2 linked regions of the Caenorhabditis elegans genome follow. The protein of the gene in region 2 purifies or fractionates together with the protein of the main gene of each other region. This does not show direct contact. Each region holds a gene or a part of one and is shown on either strand. Other genes may lie near its edges. The genes, in order: wdr-48 and akt-1.

Region 1 (5,509 bases), on a different chromosome or scaffold from region 2:
GGATGTGCAGATGGAATGAATTCGAGAAGAATTATCTGTAAAAGATTGAGATATTACAATTTTTATTAGAATTTTTTTTTATTAGATTAGAATAGTCTAAAAATTGATGTCAGGTACCTGATGATCGACAAGAAGATCTTTGGTTGAAATATCTCCAATAATCAATTTTACAAGCTTGCTGGTGCTGAAGTCATCAAAATCAGCAGCGGCCACGTCATCTTCTGTTCTGAAATAATTTCATTTTGATACTATCTGATATTCATTTAACGTACTCCATTTGCTGAGCCGCTTCAATTTGCATCTTTGCAAGTTTTTCCAGAATCTCCCATCCCTTTTTCGAACTGCGTTCTGCGATGTAATCGTTTCTCCACTCCTGAAAAAAATTGGCTTAAAATTGGAAGAAATTTCAATAAAACCTACTTCGATCAGTTTTTCATGTTCTTCCAAACTAGCCATCTGGAACGAATACGGTAGGAGGTAAAAATATTAAGCAAGAAATGAAGATAAGCTGGTAGTTAAACCATCATAATTTTAAAAAAGAAAGAAAGACATATGGAAAGAGCATGGAATTTAATTGAAAGTCGGTTTTACCCGTATCAAAAAAGAAGTTAGACAGTGAATTTTCAATAAAGTACAAATGTTAGATAAGTATGTTCAAATAAATAACTTAAATTAAATGTTAAAGCTATTTAACTGGTTTATAATGTAGAAGAAGCTCTCCACTTTGCTTCCAATAGAGATGCTTGACTGTTCGCAAATCCATATCCGGCTCCAACCTCTGATCATTGCAGTACATTTCCATTTTTGTATGAATTTGATTTAGTGGAATCGAGCCAACTGTAATATCTTCAAACACCATTAATATCTTCTTATTTCTAAATACCTTACCATCATTAGTGCTGAGTATTTTTTCGTAAACATGCTCCATCACTTTCTTAACTTGAAGCATTTCAGTTGCTGACAGACGATCTCTGAAAATAGTTCAAAATTTTAATGAATGAACCCCGCGTTTTCACAAACTTTTTAGGCTGTTTGGGATTTGTCGACGGATGTGGAAGAAGATAAAATGGCATTTTATTGAATTTCGGCAGCTGATTTCGTTCGATTGCGTCTATAACCCACATGGGTGCAATTTGTGCCAGCTCATTTGCTTCGAACTCCTTCCCAGCGTCGCCAACAAGAAGACGGTAGAGCGGACGACCATTTCCTTCGCTGAAATTAGTTTTTTTAATGTTTAAAATTTGAGCCTTCAAATAATTTTACCAAATAATAAGCGGTGTGTGTTCCGGTAGAGAAATAAAATTCAGTGTTGCTTTTTGCACATCATCTGCATCAGCTGCATCAACATTTGTCATTTTACAAGGTGGCCATCGTTCGAAGAGTGATCGTAGCATCATTCCACCGTAATTCACTATAATTTCTTACAAAGGAATGAGAAAGTTTTTATTTTCGTATAATATCTTACGTTTTGTCTCTCGATCATTATCATCAAAACCTGCGTCTTTTGATGAAAGCCACGAGGAGAGAGCGTCCAGCTCGTCCAAAGTGATTTGGAGCATCTGAAATCGAATAGGGTTTTATTTTTCAAAAATTTATAAAACTTAAAACTCACTCCACTTTTTGAATCAACGACAAACCAGCTTGGAATGTATACTTGCCTAGAGTTCTCATCGACAACTTCTTCAAATATTCGCTTTCCATAATCTTTTATCTGAAATTTTATCAAAATTCAAGTAGTAACTTTTAATAATGGGGACAAACCTTTCTTGCTGCTAAAACATCATATAGCGCCACATTTCCATCCGAGTCTCGTGTCAAAACGTGTCGTTTGTCGCTCAACATGGCATGTTTCTTGATGGCAGGAGCGCCTGAATAAACAGATTAAAAATTATATCTGCATATAGTCTGTTTACCAGGAATAACGAGCTCTGGTGTGCTCTGTTGTCCTTTTTGATCCTTCACTCGGATATACTTGAATGTTACTGGAGGTGATGATGAAGCTGATACTGAGTGATTTGCATTTGAAGTTGAAGGACCATCTTCGTCTCCTCCAATCGAAAGTTGGGCTGATGGGCGGATGGACCAGCTGAAAACTGAAAGTTTATTTTTTTAATAAAATAATTCTTTTACCGCTTGATATCAGACTTCCAGGTTCCGACCCAAAGAGATACTGGATTATCTTTTTCACTTAAAAGTAACTTTTTCACAGGGGCTTCTTCTTTGAACAGAAGCTGACTTTTAGTGAAATCATATAACGGAGTTTTCACAACCATTTTGTCCTTTCCTGCGCTGTAAACCGTTGTAAACGATGAGTCAACCTAAAAATCATAGATTCTAATAAGATTTTATCAGAGAGGATCAGTACTTGAAGAGTCCAAACTCCTTCTTCATGAGCAATACACGTGGCAATGCATCTCTGTTGTCCAATGTCCCACAGTCGAATTGTGGCATCTGATCCAGCAGAAAGTGCGCGTGTTCCATCATCATTGACCACCAGCGCACGTACATTATCTGTGTGACCACGTAATTTCATTATTTTCTCATTGGTTCTTGGATCGAAAAGGCGAATGCACTGAAAATAAAAACTAGTAGAAGGCTAGAATGCTAAAATTCCTCACCTTTTCCGTTCCAGCACCAAGAACAAGCGATAAATTAGGAGTTGTGGCGAGTGAGTAGATGCTGTCCTTGCAGCCAATTAGATTATTTACAGTTTTGAAGTTAGCATTGATATCGTACACGAAAATATTGTGATCGAAACTTGCGCTCACAGCTTTCTCTACAATCGGTGCGTAGGCCAAGCAACTAACGTAGTCCTGAATTTTATTCATTCTTAATAATTAAAGAGAAAAGTTTCACAAACCTTGTGAGTTCGGATACAATCGATAAATCCGTGCTTGTTGTCCCGTTCGATATTCCAAACTTTGACAGTTGTGTCATTTGAGGCCGAAATTACTGAAAGAAATATATTTATATAATTTGCAGAAATATCGCAAAACCACTCACGAATTTTTCCATGTCCACAAAGAATCATATCGTTCACCCAATCGGTATGCTGTTCTAATGATCCTTGATACTGAACTGGAGAATTCTTTCCTGGCGAACGAACTCCGCCACGTGCCGAGAAAGCGTCCTGATCATGAATTTATTCGGTATTTTTTAGAATTCATAGTTTATATATCAAACCTTGTGGTGTGGCACTGACCATGTTCTGATTATAGTGTCACTGCCGCCAGTGAACAGTCTTCCGTTTTGTGCATCATATTGCAGAGCACTGACAGCCGAACGATTTGAATACTCGTGCTCATCGCGAATGATAAATGAGATTTTCTTTTTTGGACCAGTTTGACTGGTATTTACACAGCTACTCATTTTATTGCATTGAACGCCTTTTGAGATCTGGAAAATAGTGATGACAAATATTTCTAGTTAAAAGATTCATCGATTTGCGAGAAAAAAGTTATTTTTAATGCAAAAAATTAATTAACGGTATCTTATATAGAATGTTATGATGGTTTTCAGAAAAAAAAATGAAGAAAAACAAAAGTATACGGCAAATTATAGACTTTTGTCAATAAAAACAACAAAACATGTTTTAAAAGAGCTCTGTGCGAAAAAGACAACAAAAACTGCGCCGCATGTTTGCAATTCAGCCACGCCCATTATTGCGCCCCGCCTCCCTGCGTTCCGACACTCTTTTCTCCTGTCGATCAATTTGTTCGCTCGAGAAAATCTAGTTTTGATGAAAATTTTTCGTTTTTCGATATCACTCTCATCAAATATTGAAACTCTTTTATTAAAATTTACTAATTTCAGGCGAAAAGCCATGCCTCTAGGGCTTTTCAGCTCTGGAAAAGCACAAGTTCTGTGTGATGAAAAAATTCCTGGAGGCAAGAAAAAGGAACCGAAACAATTAAGTGAGAATAAATGCAAAGGTATTTGAACATTTAACAGTTTCTTTCATTTTTAATTGAATTTTCAGGTGTCACATTGAAGTTAGACCATACACGAGTCACTATAGAGAAGCAAATCGCCGAAGGTAGGTTTTTTAAATTTAATCCTCTTATTAAACTCCATAATTGTTCTTGTTTTTCTGAATATTTCGCAATATTTTTCTTCCAGGTGGATTTGCAATCGTCTACGTTGCGAGCGATAGAAAAAACAATAAATTCGCCTTGAAACGTCAATTCACCAAAGACAATGAGAAACAGCTGGAGGCATGTTGCAGAGAGCACAGTTTTCTGGTGAGAAGAAGCTCGAATAAACTTGCAAATGTTGTATGATCTTTCAGAAACAATGTATTGGTCATAAAAATATTGTGGAATTCGTTGACAGTTATACAAATTGCCTTGGAAATGGTATTTGGGAATGCATGCTGTTGACAGAATATCATCAAAGTGAGTGAGATAACACCGGAAAATAAATCATAATTAAAATATTAAATAAAACATGGAAAACTTTGAAAAATCATCATATTTTTTCCAGAAAACGTCTTGCAATTGATGAACGAAAGAATATCTCAAAACCAATATTTAACAAACGACGAGATTCTCTCAATTTTCACGGATCTCTGTGAAGCCGTATCCTTCATTCATAATCGGCCACAACCTATCATTCATCGCGATTTAAAAGTTGAAAATGTACTCATTTCTTCCCATAAACCACCACATTACGTTCTCTGCGATTTTGGAAGTGCTACCACTCAAATTTTATCTGTGGAAAAGTATGGAGTAGAATATGTGAAGTCAGAAGTGGAAAGGAATACGACTATGTGTTATCGATCGCCTGAAATGATTGATTTTTACAGTGGATTAGAGATTGGTTCGTTTTTAGTATTAAAAAATTGAAGGAATGCAATGAAAAAGTCGAATTCTTTATTTTTTCAGGCCTAAAATCTGATATCTGGGCACTGGGCGTTCTTCTATACAGGCTATGCTTTTTCTGTGTTCCTTTCGAAGAATCACCGTTAGCAATTCAATCTGTCAATTATCAATTTCCATCCGTTCCAAATATTCCCGACGAGATCAAAGTTTTGATTTGTAAGAAAATGATATTTAAATACGAACAAAAATACTTGATTTTCTAGACATGCTTCTCGATATCGACGTAAATCGGCGACCATCGATATATCAAACATCAGTGTTGGCGTTTGAAGCGAATCATCGGAAACCACTTTCAGAAGAGATTCAAAATAAGAAAGTTAGTCAACCGAACATATTTTTTTAGTAAAATTTTGACCAGCTATGATCATTGAATTTGGTCGTTTTATTCAAGTAATTCAATATATTTAAATATTTCAGTGCACCGACGCAGTTCCTTCATTAAAATCATGTATTCAATTGATGAGAGATGGATCGAATCCACGTAACAAAAGAGATTCATCACCACGAAATCCTGAAGCTCCGCCAATTCAATCAAGCTCCAAAATGGCTTCTTTGTCTCAACAAGTCCCATCAATTTCCAATATTTCAATGCCATCCGGTTCTGGAACTGTAGAAACATCAGTTGCTCC
Region 2 (6,455 bases):
TACTGCTTGGCTCTCGATGTTTCTGGTAGCATGACCTCTCGTGTCAGTTCGTCACCACTCTCATGCCGTGAAGCTGCTACCGGAATGTCTTTGATCAACCTTCACAATGAAGCCGAAGTTAGATGTGTCGCCTTCTGTGATAAGCTCACTGAGCTTCCGTTTACTAAGGATTGGAAGATCGGACAAGTTAATGACTACGTTAACAACCTTGATGTAAGTTTCATAATGATTTTAATATTGAATTTAATATTAAATTATTGAATTTTCAGTTCGGCAGAACAGATTGTGGCCTTCCAATGACTTGGGCAACAGAAAATAATCTCAAGTTTGATGTCTTCATTATCTACACCGACAACGATACCTGGGCTGGAGAGATTCATCCATTCGAAGCCATCAAAAAGTATCGTGAAGCTTCTGGTATTCATGACGCGAAGGTCATTGTGATGGCAATGCAGGCATATGACTACTCGATTGCCGATCCATCTGATGCTGGTATGCTCGACATTACCGGATTCGATTCGGCTGTACCACAGATTGTTCACGAGTTTGTTACTGGAAAGATCTAATTTATAGTACTGATCTGTTATTTATTTCGCATGTTTCTTTGTTCATATTTTGTCATTCCATAATAAAAATACGAGGATAAAATTCTTTCATTTGGATTGTTGGATATGATATAGGAACATAGTACATCCACGAATGATGGCGCTATTTGGTTTTCACAACCGTAGCTTGTGAGTAATATTACAAAACGATGATGGAATTTTGAAATGGAAAGAACTACGGTCTCAGGTGAATAAAAAGGATAGTATACAAAGGGAAGGAGGCAGAACAGGAAGAGATGAAAACAAAGAGATTTCTCATTTTAATTCGATATTTACTGAGAATAGATCAAAATATAGTCACTGTAACGACTAAATATTTGTTTAAAAAAGGATATCTGAATGTCAGACAAAGGGGTCAGTTTTCTACAGTCTGCAAAACAGGCTAAAATCGCAATTAATTAAATTCAAGCCATTGTGGTGTCAAATTATCCCATATCATAATCTTCGTTGTCTTCACTTGCTTCATGAATTCGATTGATACTTCCCATAACATTGTGGAATGAGAATTGTGTGAAGTTTGATTGCATTTCTTCTTGCTCATCGACTGTAGCAAGGGCTCCGCTTCTACTAGGCGGTGTCAGTTGAACTGGTTGAGATGTGAATTCCTAAAATAAAATCTTTGTTTCTAGTGAAAAAATTTAAAATGTATTAGTCAACTCACATTATCAAAGTAACTAGTATCAGTTTCTGACTGCACATTTGGCTTATATGGTGGCTCGATTTCTTTTCTGTACGTTGCTTCCCAATCGACAGTACGGAAAAAGTCTGCTCTACAAATCTCCAATGCATCTTCGGGTCCACCACCCAATCGCTGAGTTGGATCTTTGACAAGAAGTCCGGTGAGCAAAGTTCTAGCTTCTTGACTCAACTTGCTTGGGAACCTTAGATCACCAGCCATGATAAGTTCGAATAGTTTATTATGATCCTTCGAATAAAATGGAAGCCTTCCACACATCATCTCGTACATCACAACTCCAACTCCCCACCAATCAACACAACGTCCGTAGTCATGATCATCAAGAACCTGCAATTAAAACATTTAAATGTGAGAAGTGAGTGAGATTTTTTTACCTCTGGTGCAAGATACTCCGGAGTTCCACAGAAAGTACTTGTTTTGTCACCAAAACTGATTTCTTCTTTACATAATCCAAAATCCGCAATTTTAATATGTCCATCTTTGTCAAGAAGCAAATTTTCAAGCTTAAAAAATATAATTTAACTTGTATACAGACTTGGGGAAAATCCGAATGGCGAGCCGATAGTTTTCTTAGTTTTTACATGTTCTACAACTATCCGCTATGTGACTACTGTATTCTACTTCTATAAATAAACATTTTTCTAACCTTCAAATCTCGATAAACAATGCTATTTGCATGAAGATATCCGAGAGCAAGGACGATCTCAGAGCCATAGAAACGGGCTCGAGGTTCTGAGAAACCCTCTTTGTTCATCTGCACTTCTCGATTTAGATGATAATAGAGATCACCGCCAATGGCAAACTCCATTACGAAACACAGACGATCGTTTGTTTGAAACGAGTATTTCAGTTCCTGCAGTAATACAGAAATAAAGCGTGGAAAGAGAATAAAAACTATAGGGTTGCGAACTAAGAAGATAAATTAGTGAATCGGAAAAGAAGCGTTACCATAAGAAGAAAAAAAAGAAGCATGACATAAACTGAGACATTACTACTTACAATGTAAAATAAATAAGTTGATAGCATAACGTTCTAAGTGTTTGAATCTTGCTATCCTACGTAAAATTCAACTGCGGATAGTTGTAAAACATTTTTGAAACAAAATAATCTATGTTCGGCTCGTCATTCAGATTCTTCATCGTCGAACCTTCATATCACGGTAGACAATATCGCATCGGTGAAGGTATCCGAGAGCAAGAACGATCTCGGCTCCGTAGAATCGGGCTCTTGGTTCACTAAATGTTCCACATTTACGTACATGCGTAAAAAGTTCTCCACCATTCGCAAACTGCATCACAAAACAAAGATAGTGTTGCTCTTGGAAACTATATTTCAGTTCCTGAAAATACGACCACAAACACTATGGGAAAACAATAAAAATTACGACAATAATTGTACTCTCAGGGGTAGAAGATTATAGGAGAAGGACGTGCTGGGGTTAAAATTTAAACAAAAGTGAGTGAACTGAATCAATAAATAAAAATAGTTTTATAAAAAACATACCGTAAGGAACGGATGCTTGCATCTTTGAAGAACTCGATTTTCTGTCAAAGTGTGAGCAACTTCTTCGCGAGCAATGATTACATCTTTTTTGAGAATTTTGATGGCATAAAGCTTTTGAGTACGCTTTTCCTTGCACAAGATAACTTTTCCGAATGTTCCTTTACCGAGCACTTTGAGAAAATCGAAATCTTCCATTGTCTGTAATTTTTTTTGCAAAGGTTTTTATCAGATAGGTTTTCTTACGATTTTGTCTCTTTTAGCAGCTTCGCTGGTGTCAGCAATACTAATCATAGACGCTCTGAAGTCAATTGAACAATTATCACCGTGTCCCGAAGATGGTTGACCCATAATTGCATGCGCTGCACCAGCAAATTCACTGTCTTCATCAATTTTTGGCTGCTGATTCTAAAAGAATTTTTCAAAAAAGCTGGATCAAGGTGTAATTTTTACGGTTTCCATTAATTCCTCTTGTGGATTTGCATTTGTGCCTTTGTATTTTTTTGAAATGCTCTCAATAGCATGAATCCAACGCTGACGAACTTCTGCCGACTCCGCATAGAATGTTCGCTCAATGACAGTTGTCCACTGAAGGCATCTTACCATGAACATGTTAGGTCGTGGTTTTTCGAATAACATTGTCTGAAAATAAAATATTGCAAAAGTAGATGATTTTGCAGAATGATGTTTAGAAAAATAAGCTCATCTCTACTTACCGCTGCATCCTTGATCATAAAATCATTCAATGGCTCAGGAAACGGTTGTCCTTCCTTAGGCTTTGCTCGAAATCCAAGTAAGGCTCCATCATTGAATATCATGAAGTATCTGAAATTATTCTACGTCATTAACTTTCAATCTTTTATCATCTTTGTTTTTTTTGTTATGTCACTCTGACGAGTTTCTTTTTAAAATGTTTTCAGTCACTCTCAACTTCCGCACTCACTCATTCTCTCTTTTTTCAATTTGATTATTTTTCGCATCGCTCACTCGCCGTTCACATGTGTTTATTATTTTGGAACATTAAATGAGAAGGGTGACATACTTATGGATAGAAGACATGCACACTCAAAAACAAAAAAACCATCCAAAAATACTGCACAAAATCGTGTTTTTCATTTTTTGAGTTTTCTGTAATCACAACAGTTTCACTTCCGTGTTGCTATTATTCAATTTTTCAATGTACTGTCTGTTAGGAAAATGATATACGTTTTTAGCAATCGTGAATATTTCATAGATATCTTTAATTTTCGGTTAATTTCAGTCGTTTGAAAATAATTATATTCTGAAGCGAATAGTTGTACTATGTAGCGTAGCAAACATAGAATCATCTGCTCTACCAGGAAGTCACATCATTCCCCCTTCATAAAAACGTTTATGAAGATTTTTCAGCCGGAAAAGCATGATAAGAGCGAGTGCGCGGCAAAAACAAATCAGTTGACGTATATGATGAAGCGGATATATGAATTTATGTAGAAAACAAAAATAAAAAGATTAACGAGAACAAGACTCATCGGAGTTTTCAAGATAAATTTTGATGTGAAATCATTAACTAACTTTTTCGAGCATAAAAATTATCGAATCAGTGGTAATATATGATCAGTACCGATAGAAAAATCAAACCTTGGTCTCCAGTTTCGAATGTGCTCTCCTTTCTTGTGAAGCCATCCCTCAATGACAACATCTTCTTGTCTTCGAGACTTCGTTGACAAGCTTGTCATCGACATTCTTTCACCGGCGCCGTCGTAAACCTTTCGGGAGAAGTAACGTCTTCGACTGAAAATTAGAATATTTTTTGATCGAGATTCATTATGTTTTTAAGAAAATCAGTTTTAACACTTTTAATTCGAAAATGAAGGAAAACATAAAAAAAAAGAAAAGCGAAAAAACACACGAGAGAGTTTTGTGACAAACAAAGCAGAGGGACGGAAATTGACAGAATTTGAAGAGAGAGACATAGGAGTTTAGAGAAAAAAGAGGTGGTGACCCTATTTCAGCGGAAACAAGAACACGAAAACATTTTCAGACACTGCCCAGCAACAACATCATGAGTAACGCTGCTGCTTCAGAATATCGTTTTCTGAGTGTTCGTCTGTGGTTTTTTGTTTTCCAACAAGGAAGAGATAGGAGAAGCAGAAATAACGGGAACGGACAACCAGTGGAAAATAAGAAAGAAAATATCGGTTTTCTGGAATTGCCCGCTTGGAAAACAAGATTATTTCTACGATAACACCATGCCACTGATCATAAATTTCAAGTTTTTGATCTCTGGCATTTTATACACATCGATACTGTATAACATGCAAACAGAAAGTTTACCTGTGATGTACGAGCACTTTTGTTATCGAAAAATCAACAAAACAACGTGAAATAGAATAACAAATTAACGGCAAACAATTTTTGAATAGGGATACTATGAGAGCCGAAGTATACAAGCGAAAAAAGACCATATTGGTTGAAGTTGATAAATTTTCAATAGTCTGAGAACCATTTTACGGCTGTATAAATATACAAAAACGACTTATTTTTAATTATTGGTTTTTAACTCAACCTTATTAGGCATTCAATTTACGGAAATCATGTTAATTATTATTTCTCTAGAATTTCTCTTGAATTATAAGCCACTTTAGAAACCCTATAAACGAAAAAAAATTAATCGTGAGAAAACATTAAGAGACGGAGAATGAGAAAGGAAGAGATGAACCACGCGGATTATCATCACGTAAAAACAAGAGGAGAGGTTTTGATACACTTTTCGCAGTTAGTGATTAGGCCACTGCCTCTTGTCTGAGCTTTCGAAGAGAAACAGATTATTATGCACCACGACTGGCATACGAACATACAAAAAAGCGGGGTGATTACGCCATGGGAGAAGGAGCGGAACTGGAGCACATACGTGGAAAGACGCAGACGGAACGTGCCTAAATTTAATCGATCGGAACGATATATTAGAGACATAATAATAACGAATTAACTGTTAAATTGGGAATATATTTGAAAAATAGACACTTTTTCAGATTTTTTTTCAGTAACAAAATTAGAAAATCTTCGAATGTGGTTTCAATGCCATGATTTTTTGATTAAGTGAACGCGAGAAAAACCGGAAAATAAGAAGGAAAAGCAACAAACAGAGGCGCCGATAGGGTTAGACCGGGTCTTGAACTGACGGTCTTGAGACGAATACAAACAACTTGATGAAGGAAAAAGAGAAAGTATGTGGGTTGTTGATGAAATCTCCAAAAAAAAAAAAAAATAGAAAACAAAGTTTTTCTATCTAATTAATTTTTGAAAGCATTGAAAAGCTTTTTTAAACGTTTTTTTTTAAACAGGAACGTTCGAAAACGAAAAAAAAAACGGTTGTGTTGCCAGACTCCGGTTGAGTTAGATATCGGGCACGAATATCGGTGTTGCCAGTAGTATACAGCAGTACGGAAAAGTGCACGTTTCGATCAAAGGCCGCGCGTGCTTTGCTTCGCGGAATGGATGATCGGTGACGCCGGACGGAGAGAGGGAACAGGCGCGGCGTCGAGCCGCAGACAGAGCGAGATAGTACATGCTAGAGTTGTTTACATCCCAAAACGAAAACGAAGAGGCTTCGCGACAATTGCAAAAAATGAATTGTCCCTGCTTTTTATGAGGTGAATATTATTGGAAAA

What was found.
Region 1: the proteins of akt-1 (region 2) and wdr-48 fractionate together in Caenorhabditis elegans (co-fractionation; one large-scale study listed by BioGRID). This does not show direct contact.

The regions. Positions count from the first base shown.
Region 1 is NC_003281.10:4,576,742-4,582,250, reverse strand, and holds wdr-48 (WD repeat-containing protein 48 homolog), read right to left. Parts: upstream 3,370-5,509; coding exon 3,184-3,369; intron 3,131-3,183; coding exon 3,004-3,130; intron 2,953-3,003; coding exon 2,861-2,952; intron 2,814-2,860; coding exon 2,619-2,813; intron 2,573-2,618; coding exon 2,366-2,572; intron 2,319-2,365; coding exon 2,131-2,318; intron 2,087-2,130; coding exon 1,914-2,086; intron 1,869-1,913; coding exon 1,762-1,868; intron 1,712-1,761; coding exon 1,613-1,711; intron 1,560-1,612; coding exon 1,466-1,559; intron 1,412-1,465; coding exon 1,264-1,411; intron 1,213-1,263; coding exon 1,021-1,212; intron 972-1,020; coding exon 686-971; 3' UTR 565-685; downstream 1-564. Other genes in the region: F35G12.12 (26S proteasome non-ATPase regulatory subunit 5), read right to left, coding at 1-35, 118-226, 273-373, 421-456; Serine/threonine-protein kinase sel-5, read left to right, coding at 3,824-3,932, 3,980-4,036, 4,120-4,241, 4,289-4,394, 4,483-4,818, 4,884-5,036, 5,084-5,196, 5,298-5,509. UniProt on the Caenorhabditis elegans protein: Together with wdr-20, binds to and stimulates the activity of the deubiquitinating enzyme usp-46, leading to deubiquitination and stabilization of the glr-1 glutamate receptor.
Region 2 is NC_003283.11:10,247,027-10,253,481, reverse strand, and holds akt-1 (Serine/threonine-protein kinase akt-1), read right to left. Parts: upstream 4,578-6,455; 5' UTR 4,527-4,577; coding exon 4,423-4,526; intron 3,628-4,422; coding exon 3,519-3,627; intron 3,445-3,518; coding exon 3,256-3,444; intron 3,211-3,255; coding exon 3,049-3,210; intron 3,004-3,048; coding exon 2,806-3,003; intron 2,642-2,805; coding exon of another isoform or gene 2,450-2,641; intron 2,156-2,449; coding exon 1,949-2,155; intron 1,806-1,948; coding exon 1,677-1,805; intron 1,630-1,676; coding exon 1,267-1,629; intron 1,211-1,266; coding exon 1,031-1,210; 3' UTR 637-1,030; downstream 1-636. Other genes in the region: rop-1 (RNA-binding protein RO60), read left to right, coding at 1-213, 270-566. UniProt on the Caenorhabditis elegans protein: Acts downstream of PI3 kinase age-1 and kinase pdk-1 in the daf-2/insulin receptor-like transduction pathway.